3 linked regions of the Arabidopsis thaliana genome follow. The protein of the gene in region 2 purifies or fractionates together with the protein of the main gene of each other region. This does not show direct contact. Each region holds a gene or a part of one and is shown on either strand. Other genes may lie near its edges.

What was found.
Region 1: the proteins of MAML-4 (region 2) and AT3G25880 fractionate together in Arabidopsis thaliana (co-fractionation; one large-scale study listed by BioGRID). This does not show direct contact.
Region 3: the proteins of MAML-4 (region 2) and AXL fractionate together in Arabidopsis thaliana (co-fractionation; one large-scale study listed by BioGRID). This does not show direct contact.

What each region holds. Positions count from the first base shown.
Region 1 is NC_003074.8:9,468,135-9,472,410, forward strand, and holds AT3G25880 (NAD(P)-binding Rossmann-fold superfamily protein), read right to left. Parts: upstream 1,900-4,276; coding exon 1,853-1,899; intron 1,742-1,852; coding exon 1,586-1,741; coding exon of another isoform or gene 1,579-1,585; exon of another isoform or gene 1,480-1,578; coding exon 1,458-1,479; 3' UTR 971-1,457; downstream 1-970. Other genes in the region: NIMIN-2 (NIM1-interacting 2), read right to left, coding at 2,387-2,755.
Region 2 is NC_003070.9:6,366,877-6,373,971, reverse strand, and holds MAML-4 (methylthioalkylmalate synthase-like 4), read right to left. Parts: upstream 5,007-7,095; 5' UTR 4,626-5,006; coding exon 3,913-4,625; intron 3,823-3,912; coding exon 3,609-3,822; intron 3,510-3,608; coding exon 3,429-3,509; intron 3,085-3,428; coding exon 2,992-3,084; intron 2,874-2,991; coding exon 2,787-2,873; intron 2,684-2,786; coding exon 2,583-2,683; intron 2,361-2,582; coding exon 2,327-2,360; intron 2,240-2,326; coding exon 2,165-2,239; intron 1,904-2,164; coding exon 1,820-1,903; intron 1,730-1,819; coding exon 1,595-1,729; intron 1,511-1,594; coding exon 1,365-1,510; intron 1,244-1,364; coding exon 1,111-1,243; 3' UTR 892-1,110; downstream 1-891. Other genes in the region: TET16 (tetraspanin), read right to left, coding at 1-181, 261-707; AT1G18490 (2-aminoethanethiol dioxygenase, putative (DUF1637)), read right to left, coding at 5,332-5,462, 5,554-5,754, 5,833-6,001, 6,086-6,237, 6,661-6,856.
Region 3 is NC_003071.7:13,755,837-13,762,301, reverse strand, and holds AXL (AXR1-like protein), read right to left. Parts: upstream 4,710-6,465; 5' UTR 4,601-4,709; coding exon 4,563-4,600; intron 4,455-4,562; coding exon 4,282-4,454; intron 4,189-4,281; coding exon 4,025-4,188; intron 3,932-4,024; coding exon 3,821-3,931; intron 3,735-3,820; coding exon 3,655-3,734; intron 3,525-3,654; coding exon 3,374-3,524; intron 3,280-3,373; coding exon 3,186-3,279; intron 2,937-3,185; coding exon 2,848-2,936; intron 2,645-2,847; coding exon 2,571-2,644; intron 2,474-2,570; coding exon 2,311-2,473; intron 2,241-2,310; coding exon 2,155-2,240; coding exon of another isoform or gene 2,151-2,154; exon of another isoform or gene 2,049-2,150; coding exon of another isoform or gene 2,018-2,048; exon of another isoform or gene 1,976-2,017; coding exon 1,892-1,975; intron 1,806-1,891; coding exon 1,625-1,805; intron 1,524-1,624; coding exon 1,440-1,523; 3' UTR 1,150-1,439; downstream 1-1,149. Other genes in the region: AT2G32415 (Polynucleotidyl transferase, ribonuclease H fold protein with HRDC domain-containing protein), read left to right, coding at 1-55, 148-307, 413-743, 932-995; GLR5 (glutamate receptor 5), read left to right, coding at 6,069-6,330. UniProt on the Arabidopsis thaliana protein: Regulatory subunit of the dimeric ECR1-AXL1 E1 enzyme.

The sequences.
Region 1 (4,276 bases), on a different chromosome or scaffold from region 2:
TATATAAAACAAAAAGAAGACATGTTAATTTGCTTCAATCATATCATTTCGTGTTAGTAATTCTATATCTTATCATCCACTTTTGACTTATTCAATTAACTTAAAGTATCATAGGAAAGAACGAGATAGCACGTCATATTAAAATGGATGGATGTGATTCACACTTGCACAATTCTCGTCTTGCGCTAAATTTCTGTCCAATTTCGTCTGCCAACCTACAACTTACAAGGTCCAAAAGCCCTTTAATATAATTACGCATTATTAGTATTTTCCAATGTCAAGAAAACAATAAATGGACTATAACTCTCTGCTTAATGCCTAAAGGGCTAGAACAATTAGTCAATTAGTGGATAGACGATTTTTTAGAGGTTTAAATAGTTTTCAAATAAAAATAAAATATATTTCTGTATTAATATAACATAATAAAAACAAGTTAATAGAAATAAATTGTATATTTTAAATTAATCAAAATACATAAGCAAGAAATATGAGTATTCAGTATTCACTAATTTTAAAATACATAAATTTAAAAGCATTAGGCTAAATTCACCTATCTTACCAAAATCTATCTAATACAATTAATCTGCATGATAACTGGATAATCTGCTAAATCTAACTAGCTACTTAAGAGGTGGTGATCTACGCCTAGAACGTCTAATCATGATTTAGGAGATTTTAAGCGGCTACACATTTACAACATAACATATTATAAATATTATATTATAAATAAAATTCATAGAAAACTATCTCTTAGAAAAATAAAAATATGAAATTATAAACAAAACTTAGATAAAACCATTTATAATTCATAGCAAACAATATATACAAAGCTAAAACTTATAATTTAAATTGATATAGTTGGAAACAAACAATATATACAAAGCTAAAACTTATAATTTAAATTTATATAGTTGGAAACAAACAATATATACAAAGCTAAAACTTATAATTTAAATTTATATAGTTGAAAACTAAAAAATAAACTAAAATAAAACTTATGGAATTTTAGACAGCCAAAACGGTTATTTAGATATCACATAAACGTCTAAAATCTAGATGACGATCAACTAGGGATGTCAGACGGGCGAGCACGCGACCAAATGGGGGGTCCGTGATGGCCCGTGCTTCTTTTCCATAAGTGGTGGTCCGGTCCGCCAACGACCACATGCGACCAATCGAAGCCCATATTCGCCTCGCAATGTCCATTGGTCTAACGGTCTGGCCCGCAATCCTGTTCTGTTCTAGTTGTCTCTGAAACACACTGTGTTGTTCTCGTCTCTGAAACACAGTGTTGTTCTCGTCTCTGAAACCTTCGCTTATGGAGAACTTCTGTTCTATTGCATGCCTTTGAAGACAAGAGACTTTGACCGTAATAAATGGTTATTCCACAAGTTTTGTAATTCTGTGTTATCACCAAACACAAACTGTTCAGTCTACTCCATCGTTAATATCTAGGTTCACCATTGAATCTTCCACCAGCTATAACCAAACAACGACGAAAAAGAGATGTCATAACTATTTAACTACACAAATAGCATCTAAAAATAGCAACAAAAAAAATCAAAAACTAGTCATTACTTAGTACCTATGAAATTGTTTCCAAATGTCTCCAATTAGAACCTTGGATCCTTCAACGATGGTGATACTACCAACACCACCAAGGACGAGATTCTTCAAGGCATTGGAACCAATAGGACCACAATTGAGTAAACAGATACTCGCTTCTTCCAAAGTCCCTTGACTTCACCTCAAAATCCTAATCAATCAACGATTACTTCATAAAATTTCCTCCCAACAAGATTCGTTCGAAGATCGATAGAATAATACAAATGTAGAGTTCGAAGAGACTAACATAGTATACATGAGTTGACGATCGTACTTGGCTTTAGGTTCCATCATTGTTAGAGATGAGAGATCATATGTTCGTAAGTCGTAAACAGAGGAAGAAGAACAAGCGCGTCGTCCACAAGTCCGCAGACATTAATAGATAAACCATGACTAATCCACAATCCAAAGTTCCAAACGCACCCAACCCGCAATGCCCGCTCTTTTTTTGGACTCCCTTATACAGGCCCATACCTACTCTGCAATATTACTAAACGGGCCAGGCAAAGGCCCAATTGATATCTTTACCATCAACACTTTTTTAAAACATTGATTTTAGTAAAATTTATGTTGTTTAGGAACGTCAAACGCTTAAATAGCTTTTGTTTGACTTGTAGTTTTGCAAATATATAACTTCTCTTTTGACGTATAAAATAAAACTGAAGAATCTGAAATTTGGATAACATGTTAATAATCTTCTTTTACCATTTTTTTCAAAAGTATTGTAGTTAAAAAAAAATTGATTATTGTAAGAAGGGGAAAAACATGAAGGACTACAAGTCTACAACGATAAACTAACGCTGTCTGGTTCCGGTTTACAGTTCAGATCCAAACCCAAACCCTGTAACCCGACCCGATTAATCTCATCGAATTCTCCGTCTCGAACGCCGTTACAATCCAACGAGTTTCTCAACCCAAGATTCTGACTCCGTTTCCTCTTCTTAGACGGTAACTCTCCCTCAGCAACACCGCCGTTAACTTTCGCAACCGTTCGTGTCGCCACGTGTACTCTCCGTAATATCTTGAAAAACTCATCCACCTCTTCCTCCGTTACCGTCCGAACAACTTCCGTCGACGGTTTCCCTCTGTTACCGTCAGATTTTCCGTTATCTTCTTCTACGCGTTCTTCTTTCTTCAAAGAGTTGTTCATGTTAGCCAGAAGAAAATGTTAACGGCGTCGTTTAAGCTTAGTCAAGAAAAAATTATTTGCTGATTTTATTTTGCTAAAATTTATAATGAAACTCTTATAGCCGTCGGTGTGGAACTTAGACGGTCGATATTGTCAACAACTAAATAAATTGGACGGTGGAGATTGATGCTAATGACATCATCATGCGATGTTTTAAAGCGTAAGTATCATGACGTCACACTTTATTGACTTTTGGAATAAAGGAAGTCCATGTGTGGAAAAATTGGTATCGGCTATATTTTTAGAGTATATGTAAGAAATAACTTTTGACTTCAAAAGAATACACAAAATAACCTTGGACCAAATAGTATTTGTCGGCTACAGAAATTTTGGCAATAGTTAGTCTATTTTAGCCTTTCTCTTTCTTCTTCCTTCTTTTGTTTCTTTTTCATCTTCTTTACGAGACTTTAGCCATGGAGTTCTCTTTCTCTCTTCATCTTTAACACAATTCATCTTCTTCAGATTCACCATGTCATTTTCTTTTTCTATTTCTCTCTCCCTCTCCTAAAATAATCTTCACCACCTCTCATAAAATATATCATCATATCTCTTTATTTTGTTCACCTACATGTTCTCTCTTTCTTTTTCCATAGAAATCTCTCTATCTCTCATTCTTTATTTTCTCTTTTTACCTGAATTTTCCGTCAATGTCGTTGTGATATAAGAGATTAGATTTGATTTTAAAACAAATGTCTGATTTTAAAATGCATGTATTTTAAGAACAAAACATGTTATTAACACTGATATATTAATATTTGTCATGCTATCCAATAAAAACTCATGAAATAAATAAATATTTGTCATGTTATCCAATAAAAACCCATGTAATATTGTAACAATTCTATATGTTTTTTTAAACTTCGCGATCTATAAGAGAATTGCATGCTTTTTATAAATATTTCGTGCTATTTCTGAGAAACACATTATTTCAGAGAAACATATATATCGTGTATATATATTCTGTATGTATTTTAAAGAATTGCATGATTTTTGTAAATATATCATGCTATTTTAGACAAATACATATAAACTTTATAACTAAAGCCAATGGCATTATTGTAAAAATAAGTAAACACAAGGATATTTTTGTATTTTCTCTTTTTCAGAAAATGTTATTTACCTAACTTTTCTGACACAATGTCATTCTCTCAATTCTTTTCCATTTCATAGTTAGTTTCTAATATTACCCATATTTTTATATACATAGAGATCTATATTTTTATAATTTAACAAAGACCAAAAAAATTTGGCCAAACAACAAATAAATAAGGAAGACTAAGAACTTGTGAATTGTGATCATCGTTAACGTGGGGAAGATTTTCTTGCGATTATTATTCCTAGTCTTATTTATTTATTTATTTCCACTATCAATTTAAAATGACACGTAAATTTGTAATGATTTTTCGAATAATGTAAGCACTAATTGATATTGGTGTTTTAACTTTTAACAAAAGAAAACAAAGATCTACATATGGGCCTAAA
Region 2 (7,095 bases):
TCCATTGATGAACAATGGCTTTTAAGATGCTCATCTGGCAACCTCTGCAACTGAGACAGTATTCGTAAGAACATTCTTCCGGAACATGGTTCTCTACGTGTTGATGTTTCCAACTCCATTCTCCTGGTTGCCCGAACATTGTCGTCACTCCACATCCTCTTGGTTGCGCGCAGCAATACCTCTATATATATCATCATTGTTAGAGAATTGATCTTTTATTACGAATGAATCAGGATGAGGTGACATAATTAAGTACTTACCCAAACATTGCTGTTTTGGCTGGCATTGAAGTTACAGTCATGGTTATGAATGATGCACTCCGTGACTTTTGCAAGTTTACTTTCAGGGACTAGCCTGCCTACCAATTGCTTGGCGGTTCGCTTTTCCTCAGCCGGGTTCTTGGCGATTCCAAAGGTTGTGTTGTAGATGAAACACTTTAAAGAGTAGCCACCAAGGACAATGCTTACGAATATCATTGCATAGATGTAGATTGTGAACATACGTTTTGAGTGACAACAGATTGCGTAAAGAGCAAACTGAGGAATCACCAGCAAGAGCAAACCAATGACGACGAAACTGCCATCCGTTTCTCGGATACATTTCGAGACTGTTTTTCTGTAATATAAACCTGTTCCCGTCATTGTTAAGCCTATGCATATAAGGATTATGGTCGCCATTGTTAAGAACCCTGTTCGTATCTCTGACATTTTTTGCAAATCAGGAAATCTAAAATGACTCGTAGAGTATATGATGTTTTGACTTGTGTGATATATGAAGAGGTTGTAACAAAGAGACAAGGAATCAAGAACAGAGAGGTATCAGTTTTGTTTTTGAGTTTTAAGACCTTAGTTTAGTCTAAAGACAGCTTTTTGAAATAGGTTAAAACTGTTTAACGGTTGGTTTTTATTCCTTATTCTAAAACCATTATTTCTAAAAATAGAGATTCAAGTTAAATCAAGATATATATAGTACACCAAACTCTTTTGACATGCAACTTCGATAAACAACAAGCAAACTCCGAAACTCCAGTTATTACCAAACTATGTACTTGAAAATAAAAGAACCTAACTTCTGTCTGACTTTTTGGTATTTGCCGGAAAGATTTTTAATTCAGGCAGCGACTCTGTTTTTTTGGGAAGGGATTTTTGTGGCGGAGTTTTCTTTGAAGTCCATCATTTTGTTCAAAGCTCCAACATAAGCTTTGACGCTTGACACCACAATATCCATTCCTGCTCCAGTTCCACTGCCAAACACAAGACAACCGGTTTGGTGTTATAATACAAGCAAGAATCAACAAGAAACAATAAACTTCGCAGATAAATCGATCCGGTTTGAATGAGATATGGGGCAAAAGAGGATTTTACCTAAAGGTTCTTTGAACCTCTTCACCAGTTATTGCGTTTGTAGATGAGTATTTGTTGCTTCCACGGATAAGAACTCTTGTGGTTGCGATGGCATCAATGCCTTCTGTTACTGCATTCATTGAGTACTCAAGCAGAGTAGCCGGTTCCTAAAGGGGGAAAAAGGTTTTCAATAAGCGATGACCCACTGGTGAGTTATTTGTAGATGAGAGCCTCAGCGGTATAAACAGTACCTTTACGATAAGATCTACTGCCTTGTAAGCTGAATCCACAGGCCCAGTTCCAATAGAACAAGCGACATGTTCTTTGCCATCAGCGTCAGCAAGTTTTACAGTTGCTGTTGAAAGCCCGAGAGTTCCACAAGTTATCTGCATTCCACTTTTAAGTACCATGAGAATTGGATAAAGACAATGAACAAGAAAAAAGAGTAAGAAAGCACATTATGATCCCAATTTCACCTGAATGTCCAGGAGTTTCCACACGGCTTCTGGCTGGAAAACTTCATCAGATACTAAAGCTATTATGTCCGCATCAGTAACTCTCTGGATCAGCAAGGGAACATATACGATCAGAAGACATTACATTAACAAATCAAGAGCACTAGAAAATAGAAAGAGTAATCCTCTACACATCCTAAGTTTATGCAGCCAGAACTAAGGAAACAAAGTACATTCCAAATTAGCCACGGAGACTCAAGTCTTATAGGTCTAACAAAGCTTTCAAAATGGCTGCGAAGCTTTTATTTGGAATTGAAAACGCAAGTTAGGTTTCCGAGGAAATACACAATAACCAAAAGCAACTACCTTTTTCTGCTCAGCCACGGTTTTGAAGCGCCAGAAAATGGTACTTAGCTGTTCATCATCTAATTGATAACCAAGCTGGAAATGTACAAAAGATAAGAGAACATTAGTGTCTCCCACAAAGATGGCAATACAAGTATTTGTATGTGTAAGATTGCTGTGCACCTCAGTCAAACGGTCTTTCAGCGCATGACGCCCACTGCATAATATATATCCAAGCAAAAGTAGAGACCAACAGTTAGACTTCTGGTTTCAAACACATATGTAGTGTACACTAGCTTATAAATTGGAAAAAAAAAATGACGCCTAATAACGTCTCGAAATTATCAGCATATCCACCAATTACAGTCTAGTTGCATTGTCTGAACAAGAAAAGGACAAATTACAGGCAAAACAGACTAAACAAGAATAACTTTCATACCTAAGCTTCCCCAAGACAATGCCAGCATCATTTGATCGTTCAAGTCCAATTTCTTCGGGACATATAATTTCATATGTACCCTTGTGTTTCAGCATTCCATCCTAAAAATGTAAAAGAGTCATTTAAGTTCAACAAGAACAATAATCATGAAGAAAAGAGGACCGTTAGGCACTAGACTGAAAGAGTGAACATGCAAATATTAACCTGGTGAATTCCACTTTCATGCGCAAAGGCATTCGCTCCTACAATAGCCTTATGAGGTTGTGTCTGCATCCCAGTGTACTCCTCTACCTGAGAAAACAAGCCACTAGTTATGAGACAGCTTATGTGGAAATCTACAAACTTTTTCCTCTTAAGAAAAAGTAATATTTGTTTTCACAATGTAAAGAATAAAGTTCAAAAGAGGTACCATCTTGCTTGTCATAACAATGTGCCGAGTATCAATTCCGGTAAATAGACCTCCTAATACATGATCTCCACGGCATTTTATGGCCATCACAACCTACACTTACACGAAAATCATCATGTAAGGATTATATATCCCATTGCAGCGTAAGCAGAAAATAAACTGAAAGTCTAAAACGCCTACCCTGAGACAATCTCACCCACATGTTCTTCTTCAGGTAATTATAGCCAAGGGCCAAGGCTATACTAAGACTCATTACTTAGACATTTGGCCTTTTAAAATCTTACTAGAGAATATTATTCCAGATATCTCACTGCTACTGATAATGAAAAGGTACTACTCGGTTCTACAGAATTGTCTTGCTCAGTAAGATCAAGCCCCAAAAAAGATTTCAATGCAGGAAAGGTTCACATGTCTTGACAAATTAATAAAACTCTGACCTCTTCCAGTGAAGCGTTTCCAGCTCTTTCACCAATTCCATTGATCGTCACTTCCATCTGCCTCGCACCTGCATGTGCCCCCTGAATTCAAAAAGGTAATCACACACACATTAGCATCACATATATTCACTGGTTTGAATCAGCTTAGTTGTTCCGAGTATAAAAAAAAAAAAGACATACAGATAAAGTGTTGGCCGTAGAGAGTCCAAGATCATTCTGACAATGTGTTGAGATGACAACATTTTCAATCCCCGGAGTATTGGCCTTTAAATCAGTAATCAGTTGACCAAACTCACTAGGCAAAGTTATACCAACAGTATCAGGTATGTTGAGAGTTGTTGCTCCTGCTTTTATCACTTCACCAAGAATCTCGTATAAGTACTCTCTCTCCGATCTACAGAACAAAAAAAAAAAACATTTTTCAATCATCACCATAAAAATAAAAGTACGAATCTTTACCAAGGAATCTTAATAAAAATCGAACCTTCCTGCATCTTCTGGACTGAACTCAACATCTTCGCACCCCAAGCTCCTCGCGAATCTAACCATACTCCTAGCGATTTCGATGACCTCTGCTTTGGTTTTCTTTAGTTTATACTCCAAATGTATATCACTAGTAGCTATAAAAGTATGAATCCTAGGCCGTTTAGCGTATTTCACAGCATCCCAAGCTCTCTCAATATCCTTCTTATTGCATCTAGAGAGTCCACAGATAACAGGAACATAACCATTCTCATCAACAGTGTTTCCAACTGTTTCAGCTATAGTCTTAACCGCTTCAAAATCATCCTTGGAAGCAGCAGGAAACCCAGCCTCGATGATGTCAACACCAAGTTTAGCTAGCTGACGAGCGATGTCAAGTTTTTCCTTGGAAGTAAGTGTAGCTCCTGGAGATTGTTCACCGTCACGGAGAGTAGTATCGAAGACGCGGACGTAGTTTGGATCGGAAATGCGGTTGGGGATGTATTCAGGACGGGGACGGCGAGGAGTGTGAGGTGGTAGTGGAGAAGGATCTGAGATTGAGCATGAGAGACGGAGGGTTTGACTTCGGAGGGAGATTGAACGGTGGTGAGATGGTTGGAAACGGAAAGAGGAGGAGATAGGTGTGGGTTTAGAGGAGAAGGTGGGAAGAAAAGAAGTGGTGGTGATTGTTGTTGATGAGTAGAGATTAGGGTTTCTCAGAAGCGAAGACGCCATTGAAGGAGAGGTCTCAGAGAGATAGAGAGATGAAGGTTTCAACGTGACGGTGGCGGCGGCTAAGTTTGATTCAGTAGTGCTAATCTTCTCGTCACTACTCTCTTCTCTTTATGTAAAAAATTGTTTTTTGTTTGACCCACGTGGAAAAATACCAAATTGGGATTAAAAATGATTTGACGACGACCATTGGGTAATTTGGTTCCTAATTTTAACGGTATATCGTCGTTACCCACGAGGAAGAAGAAGCAGAGTCAAACTGAAAAAACTGGAATTTAATTTTCAAATTCGGAGAAGAAGACAGTCTTATTGATTCAGCTGCATCACTGTTACACTCTTGCGGAAGATTTTATAGCGGGCACATTAGAATTCGTTTTTTTTTTCCCGCTGGATAATCGTAACGATCTTTTCCTCTACTTCTCTTCCGATTAAGTTGTGAAACAAAGAGACACTCTTAACAAAGTTGTGAAAGCTGTTATCAGTGATGTAAGCACAGATTCGAAATGAAATCTTAACATTTCTCATTGCCGATCTATTTGTAGTTTTCCGCAGTTTCATTTGCTTGAATGCGTGTGAGAACTGAGAAGTGGACATGGACTAAACAAAGAGTTCATCTTTAATCTGAAATCGTATTGATATCTTCTCCAGAAACTTATCTTGGAATGTTACAAGAGTTGCTCTACTTTGCTACAAAACAAACCACAAATATCTAGACTCTGATAGTTGGACCAGTATATGATCCGGGACGCATGTGAAGATCATCGGGCGTGTCAATCTGTACAAGCCATGCGTATTCGTCTTCCTTTCCTTCATCCACCTTCTTCATTCCGTTCTCCAATGCTATTATTATCAATCCAAAGAGAAAAAACGGTAAACGAAAACAGAGTAACATAATGTTCTTCTAAAGGCAAAAGAGAGAAAGTTTGCATACCGAAAGTGGAAAACGGATAGTCCATGTAGTAACTGCAACTCCTGCCAACACTTTCTTTGTAAGGAGGTGAGAGAATGTCGAGCACAGCACATGGAGTCAACGCAGTGAAGCAATGGAGATTGCCTCCAGTCTTTGGGTACAACGCCGGTATCTCAGACTGAGGCGTTATAACTTTGTCACTCACCAATTTCGCCAACCTTGCTGTTATACAAGTAGTTGCAAGAAGTCTTAATTATCAATGACACAAAGTGAAACCCAAGATGAGAAACTAACAATAACCTGGAAGAGAACCGGGGACGCCTTTATCTTGTGTGATAATACATGGAGGTTCGACCCAATCGTAAGCTTTAACATGAAGTGATCCATAGAGGATTTTACTAAACACAGCCATCTCTGGATGATCATGCAATGGGATCACTGAAGACGTTGGGAAGCAGAAAATACACATCTGAAGAAAGGACAAACAAACACTTGTGTTTTGAGATTTGTTGATTGATCAGCAGAAAGAATTCAGTATCAATCAAAGACTTACTGTAAAAGTATCACATTCATGAATGTCTAAGAATGTTATCGGTTGTGCCCATCGTCCTACTCTATTGAAACGGCTAACCCCAGAAACTCCATAGCCTCGATCATCGTCTTGAGATACCTCTTCAAGCCCAACATCTGCAGGACTAACTGAGTCTGCACACAAGAATGACCAAAAAACAAATCACACTTCTGCTTATAAAACAAACATTCCCCAAATTCTAACTTCAACTCTCACCACAATGAACCATAAAATCACTGATCCTAGTAGTCCCTCTATGAAGAATAGATTGATATATTAATATATGATATTTCTTCTCTAAAAATCCTAAATTTGCATCATGTATACATCAAAGTTACAAGATTTGCACTTCTCAGAGACTCTGACGATTTCAAATTGTGAATCTGCAATTGGCCAGATTTGGTGGATCAAATGAGTTTCCACATTTATTCAAATCCAACAAAACAACGTTAAACCCTTTAACTAGGTCACTGATTCGATCAAAACTAGCTGCAATTGCAATAACCCTATCGCAGTAGGAGAAAATCAAACAGAGACAAAAGAAGAAAGAAAAATACCCAACACAGAGCATAGCTTTTGGATAGCCATGGAAGCAGGAGAAGGAGCTTTGCCAGTGAAAGTCTCTTTGCAGAGGTCGTAAAGCTCTTGCACTTTGGGAGATTTCTCCTGATTCCTCGACGCCATGTAAATGTCTTTCTTGCTAACGAGATTCGACAAAACCTTTTCACCTGCCTTGAACAATCTCGACAACATTTTTTGTTTTTCTCTTCAAACTTTTTGTGTGTCGGTAATTGTTCGAATGTTCTTATCCGAGAGTGATTAACCTATGAGTTTAGTGGGGTGGGTCTCAATAACATGAGTAATGGATTCGGTAGCAAAAAGGAGAATAAATCTCTGATTTTTTACACATTCTTATGATATATTTTTATGGAATTGCTATTCATAAATTTCTGAAGTTAATTTTGCATAAAAACTGTTATTTGTAAGTTTTT
Region 3 (6,465 bases), on a different chromosome or scaffold from region 2:
GCTCTTGCGACATGGGAACAGAATGCCATCAAGTCGCCGTGAGGAATTGTTGCAGGTGATGTGATCATCTAACTATTTCAACTTTCAAGAAATTGATTTGAACCAAGTATTCTGTTATTGATACTTTCTTTTGGATTCTGAATATAGACTGTGAAGATGTATTACGGTGGACGGGACCTATCTGAAGAAGATTTAGAGAAAGCTTTACTCATCGGATTGAGCCCTCACGAAAGAAGAAAACTCGAAAGGAAAAAAGGGGTCTCCTTCAAACATTCTGCAGAGGTTGCTGGTATGGACAAACAAGAAGGTAACCATATAATAAGCATTGAAAATTGTGTTGGTTGATAAAGTGTAAGATATGATGATCCTTTGATATCCAGAAATACTGATGCAAACAACTTCGTATCTTTAGATGAAAACAATGATGGGGAGGCTCTTGCAGATTTTGAGAAAATTATGACTGTAGAAAGGAGCACAGTTGTTGATGATAGTGGTGATGGTACAAGTGAAGGAGATGGAGCTAAAGAGCTAAATGATACTCAGTGTAATGGGAATACGTTGCACCAACAAAACTCCAAACTCTCTTTGTTAGGACATGGACCGCACGGGAAACAGATCGTAGAATATCTTTTAAGGGAACATGGAGAAGATGGTGTACGTGATTTCTGTCAAAGGTGGAGAAAAGTGTTTGTTGATGCTGTTCATCCTCGCCATTTACCTGGTGGTTGGAATGTTAGTCACAGGTAAACCTTAGATTTACGTCTTCTTTTTAATTATAAACTTGAGGTTCTACTTGGATGTTTATCATATCTTGTTGTGACATGAGACAAGTAACAACTTTTGTGTTAGAGAACCAAAAGTCTTTGAATTTACTAAAAGTGAATTTATGTGGACCTTGTTCTTTACAAGGGTTTGATTGTTTTGTTGCTAGTGGCCGAAGAGACTTTGGAGAATTCAGCGTTTACAATCCCACAAAGAGACTCTCCACCGAGTAGATTTGTCTGTTTCTGTACCATCTCTACCGTTTCGTCAATTTTGGATTGTCATAATCTAGGATTATTTTGTAATCCCCCGACCGCATCAGTGGTTTGTTGTTGTATTCTTCTGTAGACCTCTGTACTTTGTTTTAGCCAAAAGTCTGATCCTTTTAAAATTGCAGTATATGACTATTTTGAAACGATACCAGAATTTTGCTTTAGGAAAGTCATACAAAAATGGCTCTATGCCCATCACTTAACGCGAGCTCTTCGGTTTTGAACCGCGGCTCAAAATCAATCAATATACATGAGGAATTCGAAACTGTTTCTACAAAGAAATGATATCTAGTTAGTCTGGTGTATAGCAGAATAAAAACTCCAAGAAAAGGTTAAGTTTCAACTTGAAGTGAGGGTAAAAGATATGTTGGAGTTCTTCTGCAGCCACCAGTGTCTAAGAATCTTCTATAATGTCAAAGACTGAGACTTGTGATCAATGCCGTTGAAGATGAAAGTTCCTCGCTTGGGAACAAACTGCTTTGTGATGAGCTGCAAACATTGCCAAACCATAAAAGAGGTTAATGTTTGTTTCACACTCCTATTTGATACTGCGGGGTAACCATTTTGAGCAACATGGATATGAAACGAACCTTGATCACTTCTTGAGATGTGATTCCTCCTATTAAAGCAGCAACCACGTGAATCTCTGCAGCACCAAATCTACACATCTCATTGTACAGTTCTTCCTGAAGTTCATAGCCGTCACAACCCATTTCACTAAGAAGACTCAGGGCAATAGTCTTTAACTGGGATGCGTCCTCATCAGTTGATCTATGAGAAAAGAGACATGTTAATGGCCTAACAATGCCAAAATTATTCAAGATACAATCAAATTTTGCCAGAATGTGTTCTCTTACCCATCAAACTGTCCAGGAAACTTCTTATAGGTACCAGCAAATCTATCAACAGCTCTAAGAAGAATATAAAATCCAATTGCGCCACTGCAAGAGGAATAAACAGAAAAGTGGTAAGACCCTTAAGAGCTAACAGCAACATGCCTCCAAAATGCTGCAACTGTAAATATTATTTTTCAGTTCTACAAATATACTCCAGTAATATTTTTGTTATCACAGTCTCTATGGTCGTATAAAAGAATCAATTTTGACGAAGTCATTCTTACCTGTAATTCTCATCAGCCAAGTACTTATGTAGTTCTGTTGTAGAAGGACTTTTGAACTCGTCTTCTATCGTTCTATATCTGCAGACCTACAAGGCGCAATTCCCGGTTTTAATGATACAGTACACATCAAATTGTAAGAAATTTCAGCATTCTCACTTTAAGTTTTCGTGCATTCTTGCAGAAGCTCTTGATAGTTGGCTTTGAGATGCTACTTGGATCCTGACCAACTTTAACTAGAATACTTTTTACTCTCTGTTCCATGGAAAGAAAATCAGCTTCCGCTTTGGAATGGTAGATTTTCTGCAAATTGATGTAGTGCCTGCAAAAGATACAATACAGCTATATAGTAATCTGATAAAGGTGATGGACGAATTTTATCCCTCCCATGAAACAAAAGCAAGAACAGGAGAACTTACTCTGTGGAAGATATCATATCAGGCATGGAACCTTCAAGTGGTACCTCCCCACCACCTTCATTTGAAATAAACTCCTGCAGATGATGCATATAATAAGTAGGGTTAACTTGGATCAGAAAAATCTGAGGAATTTGAGCCATGTTGATGGGAATCAGAAAAAAAAGCTAACTTGGATCAAAAAAATACTAAAACCCCAACAAACGTTCTCAACCCCTTCCATGTTTGAAATATCAATATGAAGTATGTGCTTTGAAGTGAGGTCTTTCAAGTTACAAACCTTGAGTGCTGCTACCATTACCCAAAAATCTGAGGAATTTGAGCCAACTTCAGCACAACTATCATGATTAATGTCTTGAATCTCTTGGCCTGGAGAAAAAGAAAACATGTTTAGTTCAATGTGAAAACTGACTTCATATTTTGAACTCCAATGTTAACTGATCTGTTATGAATGAGCAGCAATGAATCATGCTTCATGAAAATAGTAGATAGTTGTCCATTTGGTTCTCGTTGCAGTTTTTCCCATTCTCCAACCAATTTCTTTATTTCCAGCATCTATAGTATATATTTAAAAGTCCAGTTTCCACCGATGTCAAGACGAGGTGTATGTATACTTACTGATTCCTGTAGGAGCAAAGACTTTGAAAGCTGCAAGAAGGGCTTCTTTGTAATTTTCTTCATCCGCTGATACCATCTTGGACTTAACTAAGTCCTAAAATTTCAAGGAGTAAGAGAGATAAAGACAAGGAATCACAAGAAAAACAAAGATTAATAACTGTTTGCTGATTAACAAAAAGTAAGGATACCTTAAACTCGTTTTTCTCTTCCCTGGTTGATGGAAGGTTGCCGCTATGGTGTTGAGCCCATTCTTCAGCCACCTTGACTAGAATGACGACGTAAGGAATGTGCTTATGGGCAGCGGGTTCTTCTACATTTAGATCAATGGACTCCACATAGCTGCAGATCATTGAATAAATAAGATTTTCTTTCAACTGGTTGCAAGTTTGTGGAGATTAAAAGTAATTTGAAACACAAGTTTAAAGAATGGCAAGAACACATAACGAGTGAGAAGATTGAAGCAGAGTACCTCTTCAGCTCAGGCCATGGACTATTCAAGCGGAGATCATCAAGAGAATGATCAGGCTTTGTCTCAATAGCGGTGTGTTCCTGACAGGAAAGAGCGAACATGACATAGCAGTTAGCAGACAGACCATATGACAAGTGACAAAGCACTCTATCCACAAAAATCTTACCTTTACACTGATACGAACAAACCCAGTAAGTCCATAGGAGCGAGCCAAAACCAACATGACGTTTGCTTCCCGGCAGATTCTATCTAATTTCACCATTGAATCTTCTACTAGCTACAATCAACACATGACAAACTAATAAGGCAAACGCTCTGTGAAAATCTGAAAACAAAGACTAGAAACTATCTAATCCTCAACATAATGTACCTGAGTGGCGATAACTAGAGTGAACTGAGAGAAGAAAGATGGGTCTGTCGATATCAAAGTGTCTGGATTCTCCTCAACAAAATTTGCTTTAACAGAATCGTTAAGCTCCTGAAGAAAGCCACAGACCGTTTTGGCTCTTGACTGACCAACGCTCTTCGCATCCACTGAAACATCAACAACAATCATCAATAAATGTCAATAAACAGCAAATAGAAGAAACGCATTGCTTAAGAAAGATGAAAAAGAGAGAATTATACCCATGAAATTGTTTCCAAGGTCGCCAATTTCTACTTTAGATCCGTCGACAATGGTGATACTTCCGATTCCACCAATAACAAGATTCTTTAGAGCCTCAGAGCCAGTTGGACCACAATTGAGCAAACATATGCTCGCGGTTTCAAGAGCTGATTGACCTAATTCTCCCCAAATCCTATGAATTTATCCCCAATCATCACAATTTGAGCGAAATTAAGAAGAATGATGAAAGAGACAGAGAAGTTGAAGAAGAGAAAGAGAGTTGGGAGGAGAAAGAGTGCACCTTAGCTGACGATCATACTTGGTTTTGGGTTCCGCCATTGTTGGTTCGTGCTCGAGTCTTTCGCGGGTTTTTCAGTGGTTCGTGTTCTCAACTTCAGACAGAGAGAAAGAGAAAGACGCAGAGAGAGAGAGAGAGAGAGAGAGAGAGAGAGAGAGGTTGTGACTTGTAAGAAAGAAAGGGAATGGCATTTAATAAGAGAACCTTAAGTTGTCTCCTTTCTTTATTTCCTTCCTAATTTGGAACATTTACAAAGTTTAGGGCTTAATTGTAATTTTTAAAAATTAAGACTGTATTATTGCAAAAACACCTTAATGTATAAAAGAGATAACAAATTATAAATAAAAACATATAATTTAAAATAAAATCAAAATTTATGTTTTCTGGATTGAGTTTTCATTTATTAAAATATATATATACATGGAAACATATCAAAATTTTATATAAATTGTAAAAATAAATGACATAGCTAGAAAAAAACACATATGTAATTTAATTAAATATTATTAGATGAATAAGTGATAAAATCTCATTATGTAATAGTTTTTTGCCGCCTAAAAATCTTTATTATGAATAAAAAACGCCAACTCAAATTTTGCCTTGCTACGGGTCTCTCTTTATGCAAAAATAAAATGAAATACTATTAACATTTCATTGACAAATTAACTTAAGAGAATAAACTTTTGAGAAGAAATAAAATGATTAACACATGGCAATTAAAATATTTATATTGTAATCTAATCTTAAATAAACTTAACAAAATGGGCCGTTACATGTAGGGCCCAATAATGATGGGCCCCACTGAAAACAAAAATACAAACAAACGGCTGCTGTGACTATAGAGTATATAGACTAGATAGGACTTTGTGAGCTCGAATCAAAAAAGCACTTCAGTCACACGTTTTTCAATTTCTCTCTTCTATTTTGTTCTCAGAAGAAGAAGAATGATGGATGAATTTCTGGGCATGATTTGATCTCTCTAGTTTTGTTTCTCTTCCTTTAGTAATCTCCTGTCAAATCATGGTTTTTTAAAAAAGATAGTTCTTGACTTCTCTTGTTAAAAATTCGTTGCGTTGTCGTAAAATTTCCCTTTTTTAACTTATGCCTACAAAGTGTTTGCGTATATTCCGCAGAGAGAACCAGAAGGTAGCTCAAAGAGGTAAAGAGAATGTCTCACTGTTGTTAATTTCAATGAATTTGTAAAAACTCTTTTTCAGATTTTTCTTCTGTCCGGATGAGTTTGTGTATATAAGTCTTCATATCCACATTGTTGCTAGTTTTCAGCTAAAATAATCAATTTGGTTTGACTTGTGATTGCTCTTCGCTTAGATCTTGATTCGTCTTCTAATCGCATTGACTCTACAGGTCAAAGTTGGAAACTTTACCTTGCTTAGTTCTCTAATCTTCTCATCCTCAATGCTGAATGAAGAGTTGCTAGATTTAAATGAGATGGTTCTAGTTCCAACACAAACTATCTGAAGTGGTCCTTACTTTGATTGCATTATCTCCATGGGACTGGGCATTGACCCATCTGTCGCTATTACGGCACTGATTGTGGTCATTCTGGTGGTTCCAATGGATTGCCAAAGACCTCAACTGGTGAACATCGGTGCTGTTTTTGCTTTTGATTCGGTTATCGGAAGAGCTGCAAAAGTAGCTCTAGAGGCAGCTGTTTCCGATGTGAACAATGATAAAAGCTTTCTCAAAGAAACGGAGCTACGGCTATTAATGGAGGATTCTGCCTGCAATGTCTTTCGTGGGTCCTTTGGAGGTACCGTGACTGTTCTTCTAGTTCTTTTGTGTTTCAAACACTTGTGACACTCATCCATGGCTGATACAGTATATCAAACATATTATAGAAAGCGGTCAATGCACATCAGTAGCAACAATATTTCATTTTGTGATA